Nothobranchius furzeri: one gene and its partners. The protein of the gene in region 1 binds, or shares a complex with, the protein of each later gene. Links are inferred from orthologs where the notes say so. Each region holds a gene or a part of one and is shown in the gene's direction. Other genes may lie near its edges. The genes, in order: crnkl1, rnf113a, sf3b2, snrpd2, sf3b5, ppil2 and rbm48.

Region 1 (2,930 bases):
TGATTTATACTTCTGCGTTGCCCCAACCCTCTTACCTGGCCGACCTGCGTTTCTACACACCCACTCGTGCCCAACGTTCAGCTGAGCAGCTGCTGCTGATTGTTCCAAAGGTTCCCTATAAATGTTTAAAGAGCAAGTCACCCCCAAATCAACTTTTTTTTTCTGATAAACTATACAAATGCGTGTCTAATCGTGCTGCAGACACGTGTAGTCAATAGTTTAGCACTTTAGTGCATTTTAGTTAAAATTTAAATTTTCTGCCTAAAACTGTCAGTGTTGTGCCGTTGTCAGGTAAAAACTCTGCTCTGTAGTTGAATTTAAATCTGCCATCGCTATTGGCTAAGAGGTACCCTAGAATGTTAGCTGGTACCATATGATGTCACAATGTCGTTGTGAGCCTGTGTGTGTGCGTATTTGTTAGCGGCTCCGCCCTCTCAGTCTGCTAGGCAACAGCATTTAATGCATTTTTCAAACAGGAAGTGGGAGTGGAGTAATACTCTGGTAGGGGGTGTCTTGCTCTTTAAATAAATATAATATAAGGTCCGAAAATATGAACGTTATTCACCCGTGAGTGAAGGAGTACAAAATACAGAGCAAGCGTGGCCTGAAACCACGGGAAACGTGGGTGTTGAGGTTAGGGACACATTAGTCCGTGTTAGTAAATACACTATAGGGGACGGGGTCATGGTGGCAGGATACCACAGAACAGCGCTACGCCCTCTGTTGGCCTGGCGTGGAATCGCTCTCCAACACTCCGCTGCCTGAGCAGAAAGTCGAATGTGAAAACCTTTCCGACACTCCGTGTGCATCTCTCCGTTGTGGAGCTCACAGAGAAGTATCAATCAGGCTAAACCCCCCACCCCCATGCAGGGCACGGCCATCGGGAAATGTCCCAAGAACAAGTTGTTTAAGGGGTACATCGAGTTGGAGCTGCAGCTGCGAGAGTTTGATCGCTGCAGGAAGCTCTACGAGAAGTACCTGGAGTTCACCCCAGAGAACTGCACCACCTGGATCAAGTTTGCAGAACTGGAGACGATTCTGGGAGACATGGATCGAGCTCGGGCCATCTTCGAGCTTGCCATTGGACAGCCACGACTGGACATGCCTGAGGTTTGGACTGCTTAGTTTTATGCTGCAGAACAAACGGGACTCAGACCTCTGACCCTGTTCTCTTCTCAGGTTCTGTGGAAGTCCTACATCGACTTTGAGATCGAGCAGGAGGAGTTTGAGAACACCAGGAACCTTTACAGGAGGCTCTTGCAGCGCACTCAGCATGTCAAGGTGAGACTGGGTCTAACCAGATACCGGTTCGAACTCCCAAGGCCACGCTGACCCAGTTCTGCTCCTGCAGGTTTGGATCAGTTTTGCCAAGTTTGAGCTGTCCATTGATGAACCCACGCGGCTGCTGAAGTGTCGCCAGATCTACGAGGAGGCCAACAAGAGCATGAGGAGCTGTGAGGAGAAAGAGGAGCGGCTGATGTTGCTGGAGTCCTGGAGAGACTTTGAGAAGGAGTTTGGGTCCGACAGCACCAGGGACCGGGTCAGGAAGCTGCTGCCTGAGAAGGTGAAGAAGAGGAGGAAGCTGACAGCTGAAGACGGGGTAAGGAATACTTTCATCTGAGCGTGGTGGTCGGTTCAAAACCCTGTTGTGGTCCAATGGTTAGTGGTGAAGCCCCAGCCGTTACCTTTAATTATTCATGGTCCAGATGTTCTCAGCTGATCAGGTGTTTCTGTTCCCATCAGTCCGACGCAGGCTGGGAAGAATACTATGACTACATCTTCCCAGAAGATGCTGCCAACCAGCCCAACCTCAAGCTGCTCGCTATGGCCAAGATGTGGAAGAGGCAGCAGGTGAGGGACGATGGAGACAAGTCTTCAGCAGGTGAGGAGGAACAATCTTCCTCTCACCAACCTGCAACTCCTGAAAAGCAGCCGGAGGATGAGAGCATCCAAATGGAGACGGAGCAGCAGAACACACACGGTGACCGATCCGACGGGAGCAGCCAGGAGGAGAAGGAGGAGGAGGAGAGAGAGGGCAGCCGGCGCAACAAGGAGGAGAAAGACCAGAGTCCTCCTTGAGAAACTTCACCTTGGTTTTCCTTCAGTTAAAGAACTAAAATAGCTCATTTGTCTCACACACACACACACACACTTTTATATTTTTCGGAAATGTTCATTGAAAATTTACAGGAAATAAAAACATGAAGCCACGTGTTTTCTATAATCAGTCTCTGGGTGTGACGAGTAACCAGGAAGTGATGATGGTGAGGGTCAGCTGTTATTCGATGTCTTCTGGTCTGACCGGATGAGGCAGTGGGATGATGGACTTCTTCTCTGTGTCTCGGGACAGAGCTTTCCTCATGTCTGCAGGAAGAAACAGTTGGTCAGAGATATGTACACGCACGCACGCGCACACACACACACACACACCATAGGCGTCTTCATCGGGCTCCCCGTTGCTGGCCGAGTAATACTCAATCACAGTCCTGTAGACGCTGTAACCCAGACGCTTGTACATGTTCACTGCCACCTGGTTGGACACTCGCACAAACAGGTCCACGAAGAACCCTCCCTTCCTGCAGGACAAGGACACGTGTCTCATCAGGTCTCTGAGGGACGTCTGCTCTTCCGTCTGATTGCCAGCACAAACCTCTCTGAGATCTCCTCCAGCATCTCCATGAGTTTGGCAGCGAGGCCGAGCCGTCTGAAGTCTGGAGCCACCGACAGCGCCGTGACGTGGCCATGCCACTCCTCCCGGGCTACAGATCCCTCCGCCTTCCCCATAACTGGTGACAGGAACAATCAGATAAGCTGTAGCAGCGATGACGTCATCAACTCACTGAGAAAACTGAAGAACTCACTGTAGCCCATCAGCTCGCCACCCGGAGCCTCAGCCACAATGAAATACTCTGGCCAGTGAGCCAGGTACT
Region 2 (4,296 bases), on another chromosome or scaffold:
TGTGTTCAAATAATAAAGTTAAAGTCCCATAGTCATCATCACACTGGTGAAATTCATCTCCACATCTGACACATCCCGATGGAGAGCAGGGAGCTGCTGCAGTGGCTGCGCTCAGTAATTTGGTTGTTTAACCCCCTAATGCAACCCTTTAAAGCTGAGTGTTAAGCAGGGGGGGGGATTGGGTTCCTTGTTAAAGTCTTTGGTATGACTAGACCGGTATTCAAACCCGATCTCCCAATCCCAGGGCAGACACCTGATAGTGGCCTAAATTGTTTTATATCTGAAATGTTTGAGAAGAAATTACAAACTTGTTAGTTAAATTTCACAATCAAAAAGAATTACTTGATGTTCCTCTGAGTCTACAGCAGAGGGACAATAGGCCACCAGAGGGCGTATGATCTGATGTGTTTGTAATGCTGCTAATAGTTTTTGTTTTAGCGCGTTAATTTAATCTTGTTTAACACAGATAATTATGATACATTTATTAAGCTTCATCGGTTGTGTAGTTTATATAACTGCAGACCTTCTGACCTCTTGTTATTTCTTTTATTTTGAAAGGATTTATAGGAAGTGCTAATTGGTTATGTGTTGTTCAACTTTATGTGAACACTGTAGTAACCGCCTCTGACCGCCAGAGGTTGGAAAAAACCCTACTCTCGAAAGCCAGAAACTAATTGAGTTCTTGTTATCAAGTTGACATAAACAATACATTTAATCACTTATAGACAGATTGTGTTGGCATCAGTTACGTCAAAAGATTATTTAGACAAAAAGCAGTTAAACATAAAATTTTCTTACAAATTTATGTCATTCGTTTTTATTTATTTTTCTTTCTTTTTTTGTTTTTTGTTGTTATGGTTGTTGTTGTTGTTGTTGTTCTTGTGAAGCGCCTGCTCATGATTATTATCTTGAGCGGTCTTGTAAAAGATCGTTTCTTCTTTTTATCAACGACATTTCTAATGGCTATTTTTGTGTATTTTGTTTATTAATCGTTTATACATTTAGTGTCCAATCAAAATGCGTTAATTATTTTTCTGTTTAAAACTAAAATTACCTTTTAAAAATTATTTCAAGTACTACGGAAGAGGATTAAGGCCACTGAAAACAAAGAATAATGATTTAAATCTGAAAATTCTGAGATTAAAGTCAGAATTATCTTTCTGTTCATTTTTTTATTGTATTTTTCTTTTGTTTTCATTGGCCCTCGTCCGTTCTAACATAATATTTTAGGTTTACCATTCTAGCCAGAGCCGCGTTGACTTTGATTTATGGACGGTTGTGAATCTCATTTTGGCAGAAGGAGCGCGTCACGTTTCGCCTCCAGAACAACAGGGGGCGCTACTGCTCTGGCAGCCACTGTTCTTACACCAACAAAAACATGGCGGACCCAGACAAACCAAAAGCAGCTACTTGTACGTTTTTGTTTAAAAAATCCACCAAGAAATTCTCCGGAAGAAAACGAAAAGCAAGTGACAGCGATAAAGGTAGTAAACTATCATTTAGATACATTTCCTTGTAATTTTCTCCTAACTAGCGTTGTCTGTCCTCTGGATAGAATTGATAGCGGCTTCTCATCAGGGAGATCAAAACCGCGACCCAAACAGTTTGTTTATATTATCCTCCATAATAAACAGGACCAAAAACATTATGGTTTATCACCTGAAAGCTACATTTAAACAAAGAGGGGAAGTAACCTAGTTTAATTGTAATAGATTTTGTAATGTTTGTTTACACCAATTGTGTGTGTGTGTGTGTGCGCGTGTGTGTTTGTTTGTTTGTTTTAGATGGCGATAGTGACACTGAACAGACTGCTGTGGTCAGAAAAGAAAAGAAGGATGCTCGAGTCAACCCCATGATTCAAAAGGTAGAGCAGGCAAGCTAATAGATACTTAGTTATGAAGCAGCAACGTGAATGATCTATGTATTCTTTGTTCAGACAAAAAAAGTGGAGAGGGACGCTGTGTCTTCTAGTGAAAGCGAGGAGGAAAAGGGAGACAAAAAGATAACGGTTGCTTACAAGTCTTCCCGATCAGCGGTGAGTTCAGACTGCATTCATTCAAAAATGTCAGAGCCAGACAGTACAAGTCAAACACTGATCTTTTTTCCATCATGGCTCAACCTGGCTGTTGAGACAAAACATACAGGGGCTGAAACTTCACCAGAAAAGCAAATTTTAACATTATTTTACAATCTACAGACCATTCTCATCCACGTACACATGACTATGTGCCCTGAACAGTTGTTTTTATTTACTTTAAAACTTTCTACTGTACCTTGCCTTCATAAAAAGAAACCCGAGGGGCCTGAAGACATGGGTGCAACTGCCACTTATCAGCTGGACACAGAGAGAGACAAGGATGCTCAAGCTATTTTTGAGAGGAGTCAGAAAATCCAAGAGGTAGGACATGCCGCTATTGGTTAATATAAAATGAGAAATAATCAAAATCTCACCTTCGTCATTTGAGCTTTCCCTCCTCTGTCTCATTAGGAGCTAACAGGTAAAGAAGATGATAAAATATACCGTGGCATCAATAACTACCAAAAATTCATCAAGCCTAAAGACACCACCATGGGCAATGCCTCTTCAGGCATGGTCAGGTGAGGCAAGAGATATTCACATGCAGTCAGAAGATGTTGTTCACCTATAGATGCTGAAGGTTACGTTCAATCTGTGCTACAGAAAAGGACCGATTCGAGCTCCTGAACACCTGAGAGCTACAGTCCGGTGGGACTACCAACCGGATATTTGCAAAGACTACAAGGAGACGGGTTTCTGTGGATTTGGGGGTTGGTGAAAACAATCTGAACTCTTAAAACGTTCCTACTGTGAAGTCAAAGGTTTTGTTTATTAATCATGATTGCATCCGTTGCCATTAGACAGCTGCAAGTTCCTCCATGACAGGTCGGACTACAAACACGGCTGGCAGATTGAGAGGGAACTGGAGGAAGGGAGATATGGAGCAAATGGTGAGTAAATAATCGAACTTGAAATCTTCTCTTTTGCTGGCTAGACTAAGTTTCTGATGTGTTTTCATCTAGATGACGAGAACTATGAGGTGAGCAGTGATGATGAAGACTTGCCCTTCAAGTGCTTCATCTGCAGAGAATCTTTTAAAAATCCCATCATCACAAAGTAAGTACTGCGATGGTTTCTCTCCTTCAGTCCTTGTTTATTACCGGCTGGTAATCGCTGTTTCCTTAGGTGTAAGCACTATTTTTGTGAGAGCTGTGCTCTTCAGCATTATCGCAAGTCAAAGCGCTGCTACGTGTGCAACACTCAGACCAATGGTGTCTTCAACCCCGCTAAAGGTAAATGCATTTGCTCAAAAACATCCAAGAGGAGCAGAAACCAAAGTAAACAGTCACACTTGATGTTTTATTGTCATTTATTCTAGAGCTGATTGCCAAGATGGAGAAACGCAACGCTTTAGCCGACCAGCCACCGTCAGACGAAGAAGATTAGAACACGCTTTAGAACCCTCTCTGTGTTTGTCTGTGTACATTTCTAATAAAGTTCATGGCCTCGGTTCCTTTTGTACAATCATGTTGAAACACTGAAGCAGGCCTGGGTTTGTAGTAAAAGTTTTACATTTGTAACACGTTGCTTTGTCCAAACTTTCAAATATACATGCAGACAAAACCAGCACCAAGAAAACATTTACATCTGACGTCAGTAACACCCAGAGAGCCGAAGAAAAGGCTAACTTTTACGCTCTTAATGCTAAACTAATAATTACAACCTGTGCAACAAAAGAGTCTGAACCGTGAGACGATGCATCTGCTGTAGCAGACCGGAGCTAAGAAATGCTGTCAGTCCTCAGAGAGGACTGCTAGGTGCCCTTATGGTCGTCTCCTGGAGCAGACGGACCAAATCGTGTTAACACAAACGGTGGAGCGTCTCCTGGTAATATTACGTAGCAGCATTTCATTGATCCGTCTCCTGACCTTTATGGTTTGGGCTACATCTACCTTTAGAAAACTCAAGAGTTGTCCTTTTGGTTCGTGGGTGTGTGTAGAGTACAATCCGTGTAAATACCTGTGTGAGATAAACCAGTGCAGAGCAAGAATCCGCAAAGAGAACAAAAGTGAAGTGAGTCACCAACAAGAGGGTAGATGACTTCACTTTTAACCTCTGAGAACAACTAAGATTCGTAAAATCCCATCCTCTGCACAGTCGCTCAGTACAATCTTGAGCTCGTCTTTCCCGCAAAGTCCTCTACTCTCAGAAGTCCCAGTCATCTACTTCCAGTTGGCTGAAACCCGACTCCAGACTCGCCAGTCCAGAAACCGAGTCCA
Region 3 (3,876 bases), about 58 Mb from region 1:
AAAATTGGTACCGTTAAGTACCGGTATCGATTCGTAGGTACCGGTAATTAGTACCGGATCGATTCAAATGTCAAAGGTTCCCATCCCTATTACTGGTGCAGTAAATCATTGAAGCCCATTTACACCACTCTGTTTAAAAATACATCTTGTGTTTCATAATGATGACTTTGCCGCCTAGTAACAAAATAGCTAAGTCATTATGAAATGGCATAAATATGAGTTAATTTAATGGGCTTCCATAGGAAATTGATGTTTGTTTTTTAGCTTTAGCTGTTCTAAAAGTGCAATAATCTCTGATTAATATTGTACCTCCTTCACATCACTCTGGTTTTTATCTGTTAACATTTTACATAAATTCTTCTTTTCAAATAAATTCTGTATTTAAATGTTTACCTTTATTCCTGCTTAAAAATCCAGTTAAGTGATTTCCCTCTGAGAGGATGTCCCTTTAAATTATTGCTAGCTCACTGACTGAAGCAGGCTGCTGTGGTTTAAATGAACTTTTTGTTTCAATAAAATATTTTTCTGTCGTATCTGTGCTCTTTCAGGCCTGGCAGCATGAAGAGATCAGCATCAGTGGGCCAAAGATCCCTCAGGTTCTGGAGAAGATCCTGCAGCTGAAGGAGATCAGACAGGGGCAGCTCACTGATGTAGCAGGTCTCAGACGCTTCTTAGATCCTTTTCATAGTTCTTCTAAATGATTAGTTGTTGATTAAATAAGATTTATTTGTTAATCCTTACATTTTTATGATTTATATTCATATACAACCTAATTGGCTGTAAATAACAAATCTGCAAACTTGTCACTTTTTGGTAAATTCGACATCTTTGAAGCTAAATATGGCGTTCCCGTTTTGTAAAGTTTATTTGGGGGGGGGGGGGAGACTTTGGTTGGGTTTCCATTTCTCCTTCAGGTTTTAACAGCAGCTTGCTTCCTGTGCAGTTGCACTGCTGCCATCTCCCCAGGGTAGCCATGGGTCCTTAAAAAGTCTTAAATTTGCTTTTCCAAATTTAAGGCCTTAAAAATCCTTAAAAATGACAAATAATCCTTAGATCCAGTTTCCAAAGGTCTTAAATTACCAAAGACCCCAAAAAACAAGATTATTTTATTTCTATAAAAATTTTCGTGAATTTCTAGTTAGTGTTCAGCATTTTTTGTGTATGATGTTGGCGTAAGCGGAACCGTACACATTCAGTTGCTTGTGAAAGGGGGCTGTTTTTAGATGAGCACATTAGCTGGTTAAGCTAGTGGGAGCTTGCGCCATGGGGAAGTGCAAGTTTAATGGTAACTGGATGGCTAATCCCACGTTCACGACGTGGTTAGTACTGGCTCCAGGCAATAGCTGGGAATTATAGCTTAAATTTAATTTTAAAAATAGCTTAAATTTGGTCAAAGTGGCCTTAAAAAAGGTCTTAAAAAGTCTTAAATTTGGCTCCCTTAAACCTGCAGATACCCTGCCTCCCACCCTAAACCGCTTTCAGTCAATCCGTTTTCAGAGGAAGGAGGGGCATTCATCAATCAACCACCTGTCACCACGTGACAAGTGGTGACAGGTGGTTGATTTTAGTTTGCACCTTTTTTTTTTTACCCCTTCTGAGTTTGCAGGGATGAATTAAACCCCTTTCAGCACAGTGAGATTGCATCTTTCTCAGCAAAGTTGAGACTTAACAATAATTTCTTCAGTTTATGATGACGATTGTCTTTCAGTTTGTGCTTTTTCATGAATTTTATCCCTTTTTTCATCTACATTGTTCCTAAAATTCTGTTGTAGGAACATGAAGAGGTTGAGAGGTTCTGACTAGATATAGTCAGACTCACCTCAACGCATGGCTCTGGCTCTGGAACCAGTTTCCTTGAGAGGAGTTGGACTTTCTACCACTCTGGAGTTGCTCCCACTGAGAGGCGCCGAGCAGGGGTGGGCATACTAGTTGCCCCCCATCTTGGTGCCTGTACTTTGGGGTTTACCCAGTGAATGAGAGGGTAGCGTCCCTCCGCCTACGTGTGGGGGGGACGGGTTCTGACTGTGGTCTGTGCTTATGCACCAAACTACAGTTCAGACTACCCACTCTTTTTGGAGACCTTGGAGGGGGTGCTGGAGAGCGCTCCTTCTGGTGACTCCCTCATTCTGCTGGGGGGCTTTAATGCTCACGTGGGCAACAGCAGAGGTGTGGTTGGCAGGAATGGCCCCCCTGATCTGAATTCGGGTGGTGTTTTGTTTTGGGACTTCAGTGCCAGGTATGGATTGTCCATAATGAACACCATGTTCAGACATAAAGGTGTCCATATGTGCTCTTGGCACCAGGATACCTTAGGCCACAGCTCGATGATCGACTTTGTTGTTGTTTCATCTGACCTGCAACCGCATGTCTTGGACACTCGGGTGAAGACGAGAGGGGCAGAGCTGTCTACTGACCACTACCTGGTGGTGAGATGGCTCAGATGGTGGGGGAGGATGCCGGTCAGACCAGGCAGGCCCAAACGTATCGGGAGGGTCTGCTGGGAACGTCTGGCAGAGTCTCCTGTCAGAAGGAGCTTCAATTCCCACCTCCGACAGAACTTCCAAAATGTACCGGGGGAGGCGGGGAACATTGAGTCTGAATGGACCCTGTTCCTGCCTCCATTGTTGAGGCAACCGACCAGAGCTGTGGTCGCAAGATCGTCGGTGCCTGCCGTGGTGGCAACACCCAGTGTGTGGGTGAAGCAGCTGAGATGAGAATCAGCTCCTCTAAATCTGAGACCATGGTCTTGATTTGGAAAAGGGTGGAATGCCTTCTCCGGGTCAGGGATGAGGTCCTGCCCCAAGTGGAGGAGTTTAAGTATCTCGGGGTCTTGTTCACAAGTGAGGGAAAACTGGAGCGTGAGATCGATAGGCGGATTGGTGCTGCATCTGCAGTGATGTGGGCGTTGTACCGGTCTGTCGTGGTGAAGAGAGAGCTGAGTCAGAAGGCGAAGCTCTCGATTTACCATTCGATCTACGTTTTTCACCCTCACCTATGGTCATGAGTTTTGGTTAGTGACCGAAAGAACGAAATTGCGGATACAAGCGGCCAAAATGAGTTTTCTTCAAAGAGTGGCTAGAGATGAGGGTGAGAAGCTCTGTCATTCGGGAGGGGCTCGGAGTAGACCCACTGCTCCTCCACATCGAGAGGAGGCAGTTGAGGTGGCTCGGGCATCTGGTCAGGATGCCTCCTGGACGCCTCCCTGGTGAGGTTTTCCAGGCACGCCCAACCGGGAGGAGTCCTAAACGTAGACCCAGGACACGGTGGAGGGACTATGTCTCTCACCTGACCAGGGAACACCTTGGGATTCCCCCGGAGGAGCTGGCCCAAGTGGCTGGGGAGAGGGAAGTCTGGGCGTCTTGACTTAAGCTACTGCCCCCGCGACCCGACTCCGGATAAGTGGATGAAAATGGATGGATGGAACATGATTTTGGTCTCTATCGTTAGTTAAAGCTGCACACATTAAGCTTCTACCCCTACTGGATGAAAGTGGAATTACAAGAGTCAAACAACCCTGCTGTAGCTAGCGCTAATAATGAGCTAGGGCTAACATTAGCCAACTAATCCTAAAATAAACCACAAAGTAAAAAGAACCAGACTTTTGAACAAACAATATTGTTTACAAATCCAGTTGCAACAAAGCCAGGTCATCATCAGTTTGTGATTTTGTAGCCTCCTTTAGCTCCCTCAGACGAGCGTCGGCCACACCGATGTTTACTCTGTTTCTAGCTCTTTGCTTCACTGACTCTCCCCTCTACAGACGACGACGATGATGGGAGGGACATGGATGCCACCAATTCCTCAGCGCTGATGTCTGAGAACGACGAAGATGGTCTGATGTCTAAAAAAGATGTAAGTCCCATCTGCACAAAGCTC
Region 4 (4,380 bases), on another chromosome or scaffold:
TGATAATGACAGATTGTGTTTGCACCAGAGGTTTTTTTTTTAGCTGGAAGACTTAACATTCAACATCCTAGAGACTTTGTTTTTCTATAAACAAAATATTCTGTCATTTTAAATAAATAAACATTTAGATTTGTGCATTTAAATGTTAATAGTTTGATTGATAGACTTGTATCTTGTACTTACTCATCTGATTTAATGCTTGTTGCTCTCTTAATTGGGCCACTGTAGTGTGTTCAGATTAGAGAATGCAGCTCCATCCCATGTAAGGTAACGCTGAGCTCATTTTAGTCTGCATCTCAAGATGCAAGAGTCTAGGGTGAGTGTGCTTGGTAAAGGTATAGAACCGTGCAGTCTGGAAACCAATCCCACTCATTCACCTCTCCCAGCAACACACAGCCTGCCATTATCTACAGCAAGTGATTTCCACAGGTAGATCTGTAACCTTTGGAACAAGGTGGGTGGGTTGAGCACCCATAGGCGTCTGTCTGTCTCTTGCCAGAAAGCCAATCTCTTAGTGTCTCGTTGCTGCCACATATACCCGTTTCTCTCCTTTACACACACACACACACACACACACACACACACACACACACACACACACACACACACACACACACACACACACACACCTTTGCTGTGTTAAACAGCGAAACAAAGGCTTACCTGTTTGGGCTGCAGACTACGGAGAGGTCTGCTTCCTCAGTCTTATTTATTTCCTCTTTACTTTGTGAGGAGAGAGTTTTTGATATAGGGCTGCATGGTACAAATGGTACTGCTTCCCCACAACAAGAAGGTTGCAAGGTTGCCTTTCTTCAAAGTGCATTCTGGCCATGCATACACTGGTTTTCACTGGATACAACAAGAACATTTAGGTTCCATTGTGTCTCTAAATATAAATACATATTTGTTTGTCCCTGTTTGTCTCCATGTGGCCCTGTGCTAGACTGGTGACCCATCCAAGGACTCACCTCTTGACTGATGAGTGCTAGAGTTGGGCATCAGCTTCATGACGTATGAAGAATAAGCAATGACGAAAAAAGAGGGGCTTACCTTTTACACGCTTGTTCTATGCACTGGTTGTGTTGGAACTGTATTGAAGAACTACTATAGATGATGATGATGATGATAGATAGATAGATAGATAGATAGATAGATAGATAGATAGATAGATAGATAGATAGATAGATAGATAGATAGATAGATAGATAGATAGATAGATAGATAGATAGATAGATAGATAGATAGATAGATAGATAGATAGATAGATAGATAGATAGATAGATAGATAGATAGATAGATAGAATTTAGGAAAAAAGTAACTAAGAAAATAATAGTTTCAAGATTTTTACATTTATGGATGATTTTTTTTCCATTACACTTACCGAGCAGAATCTCCGTAACCCGGAAGTTATAGCGAACTGTTTAGAGCGCGTTGAGAATGACCCGGAAGTGTTTTCGTCCACGAGAAGAAGGCAGAAGCGTTGCTCATAAGAATTAGACGGTGGAAACGAGAGAAAAACAGCTTTAAACAGTTTTTATAAACCACCAATCATGTAAGTGTCGTTGATGATGAGATAGCCATTTCGGAAAGTGTCATTTTTTGAGATAGAGTATCAGCTACGAGTCGCAGCGTCTTTTCTCGAATGCTAACATGTTTAGCCTTTTCACTGATGAATGCTAGTTAGCTCACGTTGTGTTGCTTTCTAAACGTGCTATCGCTTTTCATATTTTACTCACCATTAACCTAATATGTACAGGGTAATTACTGCAATAAAATATATGTAGTAGTTACGTTGGTGATCGTTAATGATGCTACGATTGTTTAAATTTTATGTTTGCCAATTGCGAAATATTAGCAGCACGATTAAGGAGACCGGTGTTGAGTCAAATTGTGTTCCCCGTAGATAACAGTTTGACCAACTTTCTAAAATGTGCGTTTGGAGAATGAAATTGTCAGGATATTAGCCTAGTAACGAAGTCGGCTTTATGTTTTTGAAGCATATGAGCTTATTTTAATTCAGAACATCATTGTTAGCGACGTTCTGTCTCAAGGATGTTCCACATGTTTTTTTTAATCAATCTTCTAAGAAATCCATTGCTTGATACAAAAGAGTAAAGGAAGGTTATGAAGAAACTCAGAGAAACAGTTAATTGTTAATGCAAAACTTGTCATTCTAATCTCTTCAATTTTTTTTAACTTCTGATTGCTAACCAGTAAATTAAACGTGTATGTCTGATATTGTTGAATATTTGGCTATTGCTAAAAGTAGCTTGGTGTAAATTTTTTAAAATAAGTTATTAGTTTTGTTAAATGCCTATGGGAACTTCCCCACTCTTCTACTGAGAGATTTAAATTTTAATCTCGGTTAAAGTCAGGTTTCTTGAATTGCATTTAGTTAGGGTGCCTTGTTTTCATTTATTATCTTGTAATCATGTAAGTTTTAAAAGCAAACCGCTAAAAGGACTTGTGACCGTTATCTGTGCAGAAGCAAATGATCTAGTATCGTGTCTGCTTTTGTGTAGGAGTCTGTTGACGAAGCCCAAATCAGAGATGACACCAGAAGAACTCCAGAAGCGGGAGGAGGAGGAGTTCAACACCGGCCCCCTGTCGGTGCTCACCCAGTCAGTGAAAAACAACACTCAAGTCCTCATCAACTGCCGCAACAATAAGAAGCTGCTTGGAAGAGTTAAAGCTTTTGACAGGTATTGAAAGAATTTTCATCTAAAAAAAAACATTCAGAGTTCTGCATCTATGCGAGAAAATTTTACATTTAGCTTTTTATGTTTATTTATTTGCAGACGCTTTTATCCATAGCGACGTACAATTTTTTACTTGTAGGGCATGTTGTGATCTGTAGGGGAAACCGGAGTACCTGGAGGAAACCCATGCATGCATGGGGAGAACACTCAACTCCACGCAGAAAGGCCACAGCCGAGTTTCGAACCTGCAACCTTCTTGCTGCGAGGCAACAGTGCTAACAACTGCGCCACCATGCATTTATGCATTTGGATGGCAGAGTCAAAAAACTTAAAATCACATTTAGGTATGGCTGCCACAAAAGACAATTTTAATAGTAGACTAATCACCAGTTTTGTTGACGATTAGTCAACTAATCATGTCATCATGCATAAAAGTATAGCTTATTGCACCAGGGTGCCCTAATATACCCGATGATAGCTTATCAAACAGCTTTTAGTTAACTTTGTAACCCAGGGGTGCCGGAATCCTGGTCCTGCATGTTTTAGTTTGAACTCCGCTTCAACACACCTGATTTCAATCAGCAGCTAATTAACTGGCTTCTGCAGAGCCTGATGAGCTGCTGCACAGGTGTTTCAACCACTGAATCATGTCTGTTGGAGCAGAAAAAACACAAAACCTGCTGGATACCTGCCCTCCAGGACCAGGATTGGGCACCCCTGTAGTAACCTGTTAATACAAATGCTAAACAGTCAAATGGAGGTAGGCACCTAAAACTAGGGCTGTAGCGAAGCCTCGACGAAGTCGACGGCTCGATTCTAAAAATTTGTCGACGTCAGATCCGGAAGTTGACGCACCGCGCCCACTTGTTGCATCCCCAGGAGTTTGTAAATAGAGGAGGAATCTGCCTGTTTTTCCTCTAGTTTGCCCTCTTCTCCGCCTTCACTAACATCTCCGCCAAATACCGAAGACCCGGAACAATGTCCGTCCACTACTAGATTATTTTCCTGTTTTTCCCCTTCGTCTCCCGGCAACGGACAACAACTTCCGGGGTCAGATGCGCTGCTTCATGTCTATCGCAGATGTAGAAAATCACCGGGAGCGCTTCTCCCTTCATAAAGGAGCTTCTTTCAGACATGAGGAGAGCTGTTTTGGTGGTAGCAGTCTCTCCTCCCTGCTGGTCTGTTTGCTGCCGGGTGTTTTTGGTTTATTTAAACTTGGTAACTTGAACTTTTGGTAAAGCTACTGTTAGCATCTTCGCTAACAGCTTCTTGCATTGGGATAAGCTGTTACGTTTTGGTTTAGAGTTCATCTTTTTTGTGGTGTAGATCTCCCTTTTATTACATTTAGAGTGTTGTGGGTTTTCGGTTTAGTGTAAAATATTACCTGAGTTTGGTTTAACCCGTAAGACCACTCGCCTCACGCACATAAGTGACCAAAACAAAGCAGCATGGAGACACTCCATCTTCTACCACCTCTCAGGCAGCAGCCTGCACTCCCAAGTTCTACACGTCACCAGAACATAACCAACCGCAACACAATAAAAGCATGGAAGGCCTGTAGTGTTTATTCTCTTACAGTAAGAATTTATCAATTTTTTTGAGGAATTTATTTGAGATTTTCTGGTTTTTGTTAATTGTGCAATAGAAAAATAATCATTAGATTAATTTTCTAAATAGTCA
Region 5 (4,214 bases), on another chromosome or scaffold:
TGCTACTAATAACACACAATTATGTGAAGCAGGAAAAATTAGAATGCTGTGCAAAATTACTTTTATTTCAGGAATTTCACTATACTGAGAGACCATTTAAAGGCTCAGGAACCTTTACAGTTGTTTATATTTGCAATTATAATTTTGAGCTGATTGGGGTCTTGTTAAATATCACACAGTGACATTTTAATAGTCTTGATTAATGTAATGTTCCTGTTTGTAGTTCCTCCTGTTAAGTGCCCATCTGTTTCAATTATTCAGTTTGATAAAAAAAAAACATTTTGACATACATTTTATTATGTTCCAGTCATTAGTCATTTATATTTCAGTATTGTAGTAATTTATAGTAAATTAAGTAAGTTTAATCAAGAGGGGAACCCATTTTTCTTGCATTCTTTAGTGAAAAAAAAGGTAACAAAATGTTTATTTTTCTTGGTGATTAGTTACTTTTAGTTACTTTTTGGACAACGACGTGATCAGTAACTATACCTAATTACTTTTTAAAAGTAACTTTCCCAACACTGACCATTAGCATTAGCAACCCCACCACACAGCAGAAGCTCCTCCAGGCTTGTGCTATCTGTAGAGACAAAACATCCACGTTGGATAACAACAACGCGACTCTACCATAACGTGGTAGTTTGTTTGTCCCAGTGTCCCTGTGATATCTTGTGGCCTGTCCAGGGTGTACTTTGCTAATGACTGCTGGGGAAAGACTGCTCCCTTTGACCCTAGTGAGGAAAAGCAGTCAAGATCATAGGTGAGTAATTTTTAACAAATATTTCAAAACATTTCTGAACCCAAATCTAACCATATTTTCATATTTTTCTGTCCCAATCATGGTTGCCATTAGCAACAGCTGGTAGATGGAAAATTAGGGTCATAACTCTACAGGCAGCAAACATGCTCAATGCAGAACATCATCAAACACATTATCCACAGAAAAAATTTCATTATACCAGCCACAGGAGAGCCCAGTGCTAAGCAATTCTGAGCAATTTAGTCTCGATGTGGCAATTTGAAAAATTGTACTGTGATTATTTGTTTTAAGATAAATGTTTTAAAACAACATGAATACATCAGTTTTGATGAAAAGTTTATCTCACTGCACAGGTACTCTAATGATTGCTGCAGACACTTGCATATTTATATCCTTAGAAAAAGCCAATAAATACTGCAGTCTATTTATTTGGAAGAAGACCAAGTAGTACTATTTGTTTTTAGAAGCATAAGAAAAACAATGGACGTATTCCCTTGAATGGTGTGGAATGATGATAGAGGCTACACACGAATTTAAAACATAAAAAAGAAAAGATTGCAACATAGACACAACCTATTTTCAATTAACCTACAAATAAACCAAAGAAAATAATAACTGTATTTAATGTACCCAGATTTTCTAAAAAAAAAAAAAAAAAAAAACTTTCTTTGAGTGAGTAAGAAGTACACTTTGACCAATGGAGCGGAATCAGAACAGTACGACATTTGTTCCTACCCGGATCATTTCATAGGGTAACGCGCCGGCAGTGGTCGTTTGTCAGTGCCTGAACGACTCAGAATTAATTTACCTGTTTTGTTTTAGTTCTTGATCTCTGTACACATTACGTAAGTGTTTTGTTCTTTTAAAACCAATTGATGTGAAGCTGAAGCTATTATTTGCCCTCCAGGGGAGCCTAAATTTAGACTTTTATTACACGAAGACCGACTAGCTAAGCTAAGCTACTGTTAGCATAAAGAGTGGAAGATCAAACGTTGTCCAACAAAGAAAATGTGTAAATAAAGGGCAACGACCGAATATTTGGAATTGTATTTTGTTTGTTAATATGTCAATGTTGATCATTTGGATAAAACTCACATAAATAACGGCGATTAAGGATTCGAATGCAGTGGAAAAATACACTGCATGAACGAATTAGATAACTTTGCTAACATCGTTAGCCTTTCCAATATATTTGAAATGTTCGTTTGTATTTTGCTTTAAATAATAGTCTTTTTGGGATGTTTAATGTTGGAGTGGTAGTTTTTAAGCTTTAATTCTGTCTTTTTCCCTAGTTGTCACCATACATCCAGATTAAAGTAGTCACCCACACGTTGCGTTATCAGTACTTAGTCCTGGGACCTTCTAAGGTTTTGTTGTTGCGTTTGTGTTGTCTTTTCTTTTGCTAAATCAAAAGCGCATGCGATCTGCTGATTGTGTCAATAAATAGTATCAATACTGTTAAGAAGTAGCTTTTGCTGCTACGATTAGCTGCAAATACTCGTTTATTTTGTTTGTCTGACCCAAATTAAAAAGAGACTGAGCTGGAGGTTTTTTTTCTTCTTTCCACCATTGTTGGAAATCAATGTTAAAAAGTCTGAAACTTTTTAGCTGTTCTAAAAGTTAAAACATGTAGAAAAGCAGTAGTGATGCACCGATATGACATTTTTGGGCTGATACCGATATCTGATATTGAGCTCACTGTTATGGCTGATAACTGATATTTGCCGGTACAGATATGCTGACATTAAAGCTGAATTTACATTATGTACACGCAACACACACATTTATGGGTCTGAGATTATTTCATTCACTGTTCACATGACTAAACAATTACACATCACCCCCCTCACCCTCTGAAACAGGCGAACAAATGGAGACGAGATGGAAAAAATATCGGCCTGGTTTTATTTATCGAGCCGATATGTTAAAAATTGACCAACATCGGCCGATACAGATATTGATGCTGATATATTGTTCATCCCTAGAAAGCAGCATTTTAAAAAGCTTTACCTGCTCAGTATGTGCCTTATACAACATCATACAGGCTAATGTGTGTATGGAGTTCTGACACAATGTAGTAAAAACAAGTGATGCTTTTTGCATCCCAGCATGAATTACGTACAGCATGCACACATTATCTTTTTAAGAATAACAGTACATCTTCATCTGGACACTGATGAAACCCCAAGTTTATTTTAAAACTTAAAGGACTTCTTTCCCTGGTGAATCAAACAAGATTGACCTTTACAAACAACATTGTACAAGAACAACGTCTAATGAATCAGCCTAATATTCTAGAAAATGTAGAATTTTTTTATATAAATGATTTTAAAGAACATCACGGGTGATGTTTTTCTATCCTTTCCCCATCCAGAGTCTTTGAGTGAAAATGACGGACCGATACAACATCCACAGTCAGCTGGAACATCTTCAATCAAAGTACATCGGCACAGGACATGCTGATACCAGCAAGTGGGAATGGCTGGTCAACCAACATCGTGACTCATATTGCTCCTACATGGGACACTTTGACCTGCTAAACTACTTCTCCGTGGCTGAGAATGAGAGCAAGGCCCGCGTTCGCTTCAATTTGATGGAGAAGATGCTTCAGCCATGTGGGCCCCCAGCAGACAAGCCCGATGATGCTTAAATAACTCCAGAGTGAGCTTTTGTCCCTGGAAATTCTTTTTTCTACCATTAAATCCTGTTTGACCCTATCAAAAATAATTGGATCATCCATTTATAGTAGTTTTGTTTGCATATGGACAGCACTGAGGCAAAACAAATTATTTCAAGATCTCAATGTTTACAAGAACGGTAAATGTGTCTAAGTGATGCACAATTATCTGTGAAGAGATTGAAGAGATTGATGATTACAATGTGCCCATGATAAGTTTTGCTTATTCATTAAAATTTGACCTTTTTCTACAATCTTATTTATTTTACAGCCAGCTATTCATCTATTCTTTCACAACACTTTTATTTGTCATCATTTGGATTGAATGTGATTTGGGTTTATTTGAATAAACATTCATAGGTGGCAGGTAGCCTTTTGAAGCCTTTTACTCTGAAATGCTGGTGTTTTTCAGCTACACCCAATACTTTTCTGCAATATTAAGAAAAAAAAGAGAATTTAATGCAGATAATCTTTATTTTATTATAGTTGTAGCAAAATGCTTTTACTCAACTACAACAATAACTGATGCACTGTGGTTCAAATGCTGAAACTGCTTATTTGCAGTAGGAAATTTCACGGAAGAAAATTATCTGAAAAATCAGTGGGTGAAATTTAGAAAAGTCCACCAAAAGGTGGTTGAAGAAAAAAAATAACGGTGTTAAAAACAACAGAACACAGGTTTATGATGTTATTAAAAATTGCCAAAAGACTGCTTTCAAAACCAGCCGACCTGCTTTTTCAAGACAAAACTGGGAACTGCTGACACACAAAAAGCTA
Region 6 (3,876 bases), on another chromosome or scaffold:
GCCGCCCTGGGGCGCTCTGACAGAGGAGAGAATGCCGAGCGCGGGCGCCACCGGTCCCTCCGACCACCACCAGCTGGCAAGGCAGGTTAAGTGCCTTGCCCATGGACACAACAGCAGAATTCTCTGGCAGGAGATGTGATCGAACCCACAACCTTCTGATTACTGGACAACCTGCTGTACCTCCTTAGCCACTGTATTAAAAATACGAGTGAAGGACCTCAACAACAAAAGCAAAAGTTGTTTTTTGCAGCCTCGAGATTCTCGTTAACCAGAGAAACTTAAAAACGGGACGATTGCTGCCGAAGCTCGTCAGATTTGAATTCAATTAAAAATGAAAAGACCTGTTAGTTATTAGTGTGACCTTTGCTCCCTGCGTTTGACCCATCCCCTGGGGGAGCGGTGAGCTGCAGACAGCTGCACCCGGGAGCCATTTGGTGGTTTGACCCCCCCAGTCCAACCCATTAACGCGGGGTATCAAGCAGGCAGGCAGGCGTTGGGTTCCTTTTGGTTTTTTTAGTCTTTGGTATGACCCCACCAGGATTTGAACCCCAATCTCCCGGTCTCAGGGCGGACACGCTACCACTAGGCCACTGAGAAGGTATTCGTGTTGTTCTTCAGACCGGTGAACAAAAGTTTTAGATACTTTATGATTTCCAGAGAAGACGAACATTTATCTGACCGAACTGAGACTGATTATCCCTGCTTTCTCTTTTATTTCTGTATCGTGTTCCAGGAAAGTATCACTGTCCTGTTCTCTACAACGTCTTCACAAATAATTCCCACATTGTTGCCAACAAGGTGACTGGAAATGTGTTTTCCTATGAGGTCAGTAAACTTTAACGATAGTCAAACACAAACAGTTCTCCCTTAAACATGTACAGATGTTACGTCCTATTCAAACCCTAAAGGTTAGCGTTTTTACAGAAATGTTGAACATTTTCAAATATTTTTAAATAACTTGAAGAAACTGGTAGGAATCCATAAACCTTCCATATAAACAAATAATAAATTAGAGATGATGTGATGTTCCTGGTTTGGTTTCCTCAGGCCGTCGAGCAACTAAACATCAAAACCAAGAGTTTCAAAGATCTGCTGACAGATGAACCCTTCACAAGAAAGGACATCATCACACTCCAGGTTAGTCGTTTCTTTTGCAGCGCCTCGATCTCGCTGCCACTGAAGTTGGTTTTGTTTTCCCCGGGAAGAACGCAGGGATTTCCCTCGAGCTTTATGGCATTTACACACTAGCATCGGCTCCACTCCGCCTGGACCGGGTTGGGAGTGTTCTCATTTGGATTTTCTCACCGGACGTCTTTTTAGCCCTCTTCCTGAGGCGGTCTGCCTGGAGCCAAACTGGTCCAACACGCTACCTGCTGACTGGCTGGCTCAAAGTCACGCGTACTTTTAGGGGGAGCCTCCGATTGGCAGATAGAATCAGCTTGCAGGGGCTTCCCGTCGGCACAATTCATTGACTACGTTTACATGCAGCCTATATCCGGGTTATGATCGGGTTAAGGTCGGTATTCGGGTTTCTGAGTTGATCAGAATAACCCGTTTACAAGCATAAATAAAAAGAGTTACCTCTAACTTACATAACCCGATTTTAATGCGGACGTTGGGGTAGCGTCAGGACGTATGGACTACGTCCAGACGCAATATGCCTCATTTCCGGTTCTTCTCGTTCCGGTATCCGTGAAAACAACAACATGTTTCCCAGTTCGGAAGAGATAGCGACCGCATTTGTTTGCGCTTTAGTTTCTTTGTCACTCCAAAAGTGTGGTGCTGTGCCGTGACTCGCCATTTTGCTCCCAACTTGTTGTTTACTTCCGGAGTTCTCGCGCATACAAGACGTCTCGCTACTCAAAAGACCAAGATTCCTTGCGAACAGAGCATGCGCAGAACACACGCTTTGATGGGGATATCCCGATATGCGTTTACACGACCAAACACTCGGGTTAGAAAAGGGTTACCCCAGGTGTAGTAATCGGGTTTTTAAAAACCCGGTTATGAGCATATCCGGGTTTCTGGCGGTGTTTACATGGACCTGCGGAACCGGGTTATTGTGAATATTCGGGTTTTAAAAGGGTTACTGGCTGCATGTAAACGCACTCAGTATCATTCTGGATGCTGTGGTGTTAACGAGCCTCTGACTGAAGCCATTTTACTTTGTCTCTCACTGCTGTGAGGAACACACACACACACACACACAGCAAAGCAAAGCAGGATGCTGAGTCTCCAAAAGCAAGACTGCTCGGGCTGCTTTTGCTTAATAATGAAGACCCCGTGGAGTGGACCTCTGTGCTCTTTTGTCCCGCCCACGTGCTCGGAGATCCGATCATGACATCACAGGCCACAGACCGCCCATGTGCTGCTCAGTTACATCGCTAAGGCAGTGGGGGACGAATGTGGCCAGGCTGGGGTGGGCGGAGCAGAGTGGAGCTGATGCTAGCGTGTAAGTGGCATTAGAGGACCTTGTGTGACCAAGTATGGTTAATCGAGTGCGTTTCTGTATGTAAACGACATTCAGGCTAACATCCTGAATTTGGAAATATGACAGTTTCTAGTAAGGTTTGATAAATGAGGCGCTGGAGCGGCGGGATCCAGACCCGAGACTCCTGGATGGGGAGGAGCGGGGCAGTGATGACACAACTAAGCTCTACCCAGGCTTTTGCTGAAGCTTAGCAGAGTTTTCCAGAGCTGAAGGAAAGAAGCAGCTGAGACAGGAAAATAACTGCTTTACGTTGCTTTTCATCAGGAAATAATAAAACACGGTCAAAAGCTCCAAAGACTGGAGTTCGCACGATGCAGGCCCTTAAAAACATCTGCTTTCTGTTTTTAAAGGACCCCACAAACCTGGATAAATTCAACGTGTCAAACTTCTTCCATGTGAAGAACAACCTGAAAATGTCAGATGCAGGTAATTTTTACTTTGAGATCGGAGTCAAATTTCTGGTTTGTTGTGAGTAAAATACTTCTTTCCTTTATCTGCTGCCGTTTAGACGAGGAGAAGGCGAGGCAGGATCCAGCGTATCACCTGAAGACTACCAACCTGGAAACCAGGGAGACCTTGGCTGAGCTTTACAAAGACTACAAGGGGGATCAGCTCTTGGCTTCCACCATGAAGGAGCCAGAAGCCAAGAAGACCGACAAAATAAATGCTGTAGGTCAAATCTTAAAGCAGAACAACTCTGCTTCAAAAGCTCAAAGTCGGACACAAGAGGGCGCCAAACTGTGAGTTATGGTGGAGGGAAAAGGAAAAGAGTAATGGGAGATTCTGTTCATTTAAAGAAAAAACAAGAATGAAAAGTGAACAGTTGTGTTCTCAGATATGATGACTCAGATTAAAGTCACAGCTGCTGGTTTGGTTCTGGTTAGGGTTGTTGTTGCGTCGTGGTAAATGATTAACTACTAACTACTAAACCAGACTACAGCTACCAACATGTTAGCCAGACTGTCTCCTTTTCCTTCAGTATTCAAATAAACATTCAGAGTGGAACGTATTCAATGTGCCGTCCTGTTGGACTTGATCCACCCCGGTACCAAAGGCAAATGTGTGCTACATAACTCATCTGATGACTGGGAGACGAGTGGCCTGTGACCCGTTTTATGGATTAGTAAAGTCAGTTTCCACAAAAGACCATCCACTGCTTTTCCCGACTGCACCTTTTCTTTTCTAAGCCCATTTCTGATTCACTCTCCGTGCAGCTAGCAGGGTTTCTGTGCAGGTTACAATAGGAGAATAGAAAAGTAAACGGCGTTCCTCCCACTACTAAACCCAAACCAAAAACAGGGTTTCAGTCAGTAGAAGTAGGAAACATTGTTGTGCAGAGGTCATAAAAGAGGTCAAAGAGCTGACGGTGGGTGTTTTAGAGGTCA
Region 7 (4,656 bases), on another chromosome or scaffold:
AAGTTGCCGACACAGTTCCACCCTGTGAGCATCCTGGCTGGAGGAGGCCCTACTTCGAGTCCAGCTGAGAAACACTGGAGATCCGTTACCCCAGGACAATTCCAGCGCCTGATTCTGCAAAAAAAGAGAGACAAAACATTTATTTTTCTGCTTTTTTTGGTTATCTAAGCATTTTATGTGTTAAAGGACCATGGCTGCAGTGTGTGTGTGTGTGTGTGTTTTAATGCAAACGATGCAAGGAAAGGGAGAGAGAAAATGAATAGGGAAGCGGGAAATCAGTGGATCACGGAAATGTGGAATAAGTGCAAAGAGCAGAACAAGGAGAGGGTGGTGAAGGTCCCACCAAAGCCTGAACAGGTGACTTTTCAGCTGCTTTTTAAAGGAGACCACTGAGTCCACTGATCTCAGGCTCAGGGGGAGAGAGGTCCACAGTCTGGGGGCCACACCAGCAAATGATCTGTCACCTTTGACCTTTAGCCTGGTGCTGCACAACCAGTTGGCTTTGATCACTGGACCTCAGGGACCTGCTGGGGGTGTAGGGACTAAGAAGATCACCAATGTAAGATGGTGCTTGTCCATGTAAGGCTCTATAGACCAGAACCAGGATCTTGAAATGAACCCTGAAGTTGACTGGCAGCCAGTGAAGCTGGAGGAGAAGCGGGGTGATGTGGGTGCGTTTGGAGGACTTGGTCAGAAGCCGAGCACAGGCGTTCTGAACCACCTGTAGACGGTTCAGGGAGGTTCTGCTCAGACACGTGAAAAGAGAGTTACAGTAGTCTAAGTGTGTCTCTCTAAGTCTCTAATGCAGTAAAATAAGGCAAACATAGATGTCAAGGAAGCAATTCACCTGAAAATCCTAAAAACCAGCAGCTGTCGTTGATTAGGTAACTGTTTGCTTTGCATGTTTATAAAATCTCAAACAAAAGTACTTTCATCTGAGCATAAGACAACCCGGCTAGTCGTTTAAAAACTGTCATCTGTTTATGCTAGCACAGACATTATACATTAAAACTAAGTCTTAACGTACAGAAATGATCTAAAAAGCAGTAAATCAACATGAAATTAGTTAGCTAACCTACCTCGTTCAAGGAAAGATGCGCTACCAACTTGGAAGGGAGGTGAAGAAAGCAGTTTTTTGTGTTGTTAAAAACGACACGAACGGCTTGAATTCCCTGGTTGCTAAACATAATTTTCGCATTGCTAGCTAGCTTAGCATACACCAGGCAGAGAGAGCAATTGGATTTATCGATGTGCTCTGTGGACGATGGACTCCTCACCAGGCAAAAGTAGTTGATCTTTTGCTTTCAAAATAAAAGAGTATTCTAACAGGCAGCGCGACGGTATTCACTGAACTGTAAGCATTTATTTTGAAAGTGTTAAACCGGAAGCGCAGACGCATTCACTGAACTAAAAGCGTTTATTTTGAAAGTGTTAAACCGGAAGTGCAGACGCATTCACTGAACTAAAAGCATTTATTTTGAAAGTGTTAAACCGGAAGCGCAGACGCATTCACTGAACTAAAAGCGTTTATTTTGAAAGTGTTAAACCGGAAGTGCAGACGCATTCACTGAACTAAAAGCATTTATTTTGAAAGTGTTAAACCGGAACAGCATTTAGAATAAGCATGGCGGTCCCTGTAAACAACAGCTCCGGTTGTTGGAAAGTTCCTGACGTTCACAAACATCACGAACAGCAGAAAGTTTGCATTTCTCGACCAAAGTATCGAGAAGGAAGAAGAGCTAAAGCGGTTAAGGTGAGACAATCTTAGAAGTTATTAATTTCAGCTAAAATGTTCATAAATTCTGTAAAGAAGACACACAAGATTTGCTTTAGCTTAATTGGTAACATCATTCTAATACTGCACTGAACGCAGGAAATGTAACTTTAGTCTTGTGAATTTCCAGGTGTACACCATTAACCTAGAGTCCCGTTTCCTGATGGTACTGGGAGTCCCAGCTATCGGTGTGATGACGGAGCTGGTCCAGCTGTGTGCCCTGTATGGTGTTGTGGAGGAGTACAGACCTCTGGACGAGTATCCGGCTGAGGAGTTTACAGAAGTCTACCTCATCAAGTTCCAGAAGCTAACCAGCGCCAGGTACGATTTATTCGCTCCTCATACTTTACTGGAAATACCTGCTTAATCGTTATCGAATGTTTCTGTTTCAGAGCAGCCAAACGCAACATGGATGAGAAAAGCTTCTACGGCGGTGTGCTGCATGTGTGTTACGTCCCAGAGTATGAGACTGTAGAAGACACCAGGCTAAAGCTACAGGACCGGAGGGGTTATGTTATGAGAGCAGCTCGGAGCAGAGGTATCGTTTAACATCATGTTTGATTTAGTTCTGACCTTTAAATGTTGCTTTTCAATGCTTTAAAACAAATCTTCTCTTACAAAGCAAAAGCGGCGCACAGCGAAGGCTCCGCATCATCGACGACTGCATCAGACATAAACGTCAGACACGATCAAACCTCTAAAAAAGAATGTGCAGAGGATGCTTCAAACCACAGCCAACATGCAGAATTCCCTCCTCTCCCATTACCTCCATGGGAGCAGCATCCCTTTGGACATAACAGTCCACATGGGATCAGCGCACAGGAGGACAAAATGGGAACTTTACATGATGCCATCATAAACTTGAAACAGCCCCAAGTGGAAAAGTTAAGCGTTAACCAAGCCTCAGAGAGAGACCACGACACAGAACACAGACTGACCTCAGATCAGGCTTCAGCATTCAGGTTTCTCCCAAGGTCCTCGCACTTGGAGATCAGGAAACGCAGAATGGAAGAGGCTCCCGAGCAGTCGGCAAGTGTTTCTGGAGGAACCGAGACCCTGATTGGACCGAAATTACCAGAACCACCTAAACTGGACATGAATGATGACTCGTTGAACACAACTGCCAGCCTGATCAGGAACACAATGAAACAGGTCATTGTTGATTCAGTACTTTAATAATTTCATAAAAAGTAAATCAGCCTTAATGAAGGATTAAAACATGTGAATCTTTTTTTTTTTTTTTTCAGGTGGGATCTGCTCCGGGTTTCAAAGCTGTTGAGAAAAAGACAAAACCACGTCGTCGGATATGATCTGGACAGGTGTCTAGATGGGAGTCTTGGAAGAAAACCGACGCTCCCACTGCTTCGGAAAACTGTTTATCTCATCGGCTGTTGTATGCTATGATACCAACCTGTATAAAAAAGGTTAAAAAAAACAGCTATTATGTAAAGAGTGCACAAATTTACATTTAGAAAGCTAAAGAAATACTAATACTGTGTTTCCTATGTGCATGTTGCCGTGGCGCGCCACTACGGAAAAATAAAAGCTGCCACACCTTCAGAAGTAAACAAAAAAAAAACTTCAAACAACGTACCTTCAGAAACATTTTTTTTGGATATACATTAAAACAATAACGAGACATATATAGTCTATATTTGTGCATGTGTACTAACCATAGTCACAGTTTAAAATAAATTTTATTGCAACAAAACTTTAAACTGCAGTTCAAAAAGATCTACCGACCGCTAAATTAGCGAGGGCGCACCGGTGTGGTGAAGTCACCTGAGGACAAAACAGGTGATGCGCTTCGCTCCGCAGCAGCAAAACGCATCGGGCACAAATAAAAGACAGGAAGCATAAAAAGGACACGAGTCGACATAAACAATCGTGTGTTATACGTGGAGACACTGAGAATGTTACTGTCGCCATGCTCAGGACACCGCTCTGGTGCGCGCCAACCATCAGGAGGTGAGCGAAGGAGAGACAAGTGGAGAGGCAGAACAAGGACCAGCATGCATAAGTGAGCATGATGAGGGAGAGAGCAGCAGGGAAGCGGTAAGAGGGAAGAAAAAAGTCAGCACAGAGAATCTGGCTGGGACCCAAAATGGACAGAAATCAAGTTCCGCCCATGGCTGTAATCAAGGTGGGAATCAAGCAATACAAATTATTTCAAGGTAAATATATTTTTACATTTTTTTTATTTAATTGTAATTAAACAATAAGCTGATTTACACACCTGCGATGGACTGGCTCTCTGTTCAGGGTGGCACCAGCCCCCAACCCCCCACCCCCGCGACCCTACATGGACAAAGCGGGTTCAGACAATGGATGGATGGATGTTTTACACACACCTGCAGGAATGTTCATCGAAAAGCATACTGCTCGTGTCTCAGAGCGACCGTCTCCGCACGTCTCTCCACCACGGTTTATCAAAATCGTAGAGGAAACCCTGAGCATGTTATTTTATCTCACACTGTCAATATTTTAACTGCTAAAACTTTCTGCATATTAGGAAAATCTTGAAATCCTTCACATGGGTGCAAATTTACCACCAAACAAATAAAATGGTCACAAAAACATTAGAACAGTACTAATTAAAGAAAAATAACAGCCCAAAATAGACTTTTACAAAAACAACAATTATATTATCATCAATATATATGTGTATGTGTATAAATATATAATACATATGTGTATGTATGTATATATATATATATTTTTTTTTTCGTGTCCTGTCGGTCTGTGAAGCAAGCAGAATTAATGTCTGAATGCTGGTGACAAGACTTACAGATTTACTGTCAGGTGGAGCATCAAAGCGTCTGCTTTTAATGTCACGCCTGATACTTAAAACTTTATTGTTATTGTTTTTGAATGTGTTTTAT

What was found.
Region 2: crnkl1 (region 1) and rnf113a share a complex: the UniProt entries of both Homo sapiens proteins name them as parts of the minor spliceosome. The link is inferred for Nothobranchius furzeri from reciprocal best matches to the Homo sapiens genes CRNKL1 and RNF113A.
Region 3: crnkl1 (region 1) and sf3b2 share a complex: the UniProt entries of both Homo sapiens proteins name them as parts of the minor spliceosome. The link is inferred for Nothobranchius furzeri from reciprocal best matches to the Homo sapiens genes CRNKL1 and SF3B2.
Region 4: crnkl1 (region 1) and snrpd2 share a complex: the UniProt entries of both Homo sapiens proteins name them as parts of the minor spliceosome. The link is inferred for Nothobranchius furzeri from reciprocal best matches to the Homo sapiens genes CRNKL1 and SNRPD2.
Region 5: crnkl1 (region 1) and sf3b5 share a complex: the UniProt entries of both Homo sapiens proteins name them as parts of the minor spliceosome. The link is inferred for Nothobranchius furzeri from reciprocal best matches to the Homo sapiens genes CRNKL1 and SF3B5.
Region 6: crnkl1 (region 1) and ppil2 share a complex: the UniProt entries of both Homo sapiens proteins name them as parts of the minor spliceosome. The link is inferred for Nothobranchius furzeri from reciprocal best matches to the Homo sapiens genes CRNKL1 and PPIL2.
Region 7: crnkl1 (region 1) and rbm48 share a complex: the UniProt entries of both Homo sapiens proteins name them as parts of the minor spliceosome. The link is inferred for Nothobranchius furzeri from reciprocal best matches to the Homo sapiens genes CRNKL1 and RBM48.

Annotation. Positions count from the first base shown.
Region 1 is NC_091742.1:17,430,328-17,433,257, reverse strand, and holds the end of crnkl1 (crooked neck-like protein 1), read left to right. Parts: intron 1-870; coding exon 871-1,110; intron 1,111-1,179; coding exon 1,180-1,281; intron 1,282-1,351; coding exon 1,352-1,600; intron 1,601-1,743; coding exon 1,744-2,079; 3' UTR 2,080-2,210; downstream 2,211-2,930. Other genes in the region: naa20 (N-alpha-acetyltransferase 20), read right to left, coding at 2,279-2,364, 2,431-2,576, 2,651-2,786, 2,862-2,930. UniProt on the Homo sapiens protein: Involved in pre-mRNA splicing process. As a component of the minor spliceosome, involved in the splicing of U12-type introns in pre-mRNAs.
Region 2 is NC_091745.1:10,008,345-10,012,640, forward strand, and holds rnf113a (E3 ubiquitin-protein ligase RNF113A), read left to right. Parts: upstream 1-1,324; 5' UTR 1,325-1,378; coding exon 1,379-1,484; intron 1,485-1,784; coding exon 1,785-1,864; intron 1,865-1,936; coding exon 1,937-2,035; intron 2,036-2,290; coding exon 2,291-2,398; intron 2,399-2,488; coding exon 2,489-2,598; intron 2,599-2,680; coding exon 2,681-2,787; intron 2,788-2,877; coding exon 2,878-2,967; intron 2,968-3,039; coding exon 3,040-3,133; intron 3,134-3,202; coding exon 3,203-3,309; intron 3,310-3,395; coding exon 3,396-3,463; 3' UTR 3,464-3,527; downstream 3,528-4,296. Other genes in the region: strada (STE20-related kinase adapter protein alpha), read right to left, coding at 4,223-4,296. UniProt on the Homo sapiens protein: Required for pre-mRNA splicing as component of the spliceosome. As a component of the minor spliceosome, involved in the splicing of U12-type introns in pre-mRNAs. E3 ubiquitin-protein ligase that catalyzes the transfer of ubiquitin onto target proteins.
Region 3 is NC_091742.1:75,390,520-75,394,395, reverse strand, and holds part of sf3b2 (splicing factor 3B subunit 2), read left to right. Parts: intron 1-548; coding exon 549-657; intron 658-3,760; coding exon 3,761-3,852; intron 3,853-3,876. UniProt on the Homo sapiens protein: Component of the 17S U2 SnRNP complex of the spliceosome, a large ribonucleoprotein complex that removes introns from transcribed pre-mRNAs.
Region 4 is NC_091753.1:27,245,659-27,250,038, forward strand, and holds the start of snrpd2 (small nuclear ribonucleoprotein Sm D2), read left to right. Parts: upstream 1-1,415; 5' UTR 1,416-1,551; coding exon 1,552-1,553; intron 1,554-2,523; coding exon 2,524-2,703; intron 2,704-4,380. UniProt on the Homo sapiens protein: Plays a role in pre-mRNA splicing as a core component of the spliceosomal U1, U2, U4 and U5 small nuclear ribonucleoproteins (snRNPs), the building blocks of the spliceosome.
Region 5 is NC_091752.1:24,290,180-24,294,393, forward strand, and holds sf3b5 (splicing factor 3B subunit 5), read left to right. Parts: upstream 1-1,492; 5' UTR 1,493-1,605; intron 1,606-3,134; 5' UTR 3,135-3,149; coding exon 3,150-3,410; 3' UTR 3,411-3,696; downstream 3,697-4,214. UniProt on the Homo sapiens protein: Component of the 17S U2 SnRNP complex of the spliceosome, a large ribonucleoprotein complex that removes introns from transcribed pre-mRNAs.
Region 6 is NC_091750.1:38,466,248-38,470,123, forward strand, and holds part of ppil2 (RING-type E3 ubiquitin-protein ligase PPIL2), read left to right. Parts: intron 1-733; coding exon 734-825; intron 826-1,047; coding exon 1,048-1,137; intron 1,138-2,841; coding exon 2,842-2,917; intron 2,918-2,999; coding exon 3,000-3,160; intron 3,161-3,876. UniProt on the Homo sapiens protein: Has a ubiquitin-protein ligase activity acting as an E3 ubiquitin protein ligase or as an ubiquitin-ubiquitin ligase promoting elongation of ubiquitin chains on substrates.
Region 7 is NC_091759.1:22,195,601-22,200,256, forward strand, and holds rbm48 (RNA-binding protein 48), read left to right. Parts: upstream 1-1,609; 5' UTR 1,610-1,624; coding exon 1,625-1,753; intron 1,754-1,904; coding exon 1,905-2,095; intron 2,096-2,166; coding exon 2,167-2,312; intron 2,313-2,396; coding exon 2,397-2,926; intron 2,927-3,021; coding exon 3,022-3,084; 3' UTR 3,085-4,007; downstream 4,008-4,656. Other genes in the region: peroxisomal ATPase PEX1, read right to left, coding at 1-114, 1,080-1,187. UniProt on the Homo sapiens protein: As a component of the minor spliceosome, involved in the splicing of U12-type introns in pre-mRNAs.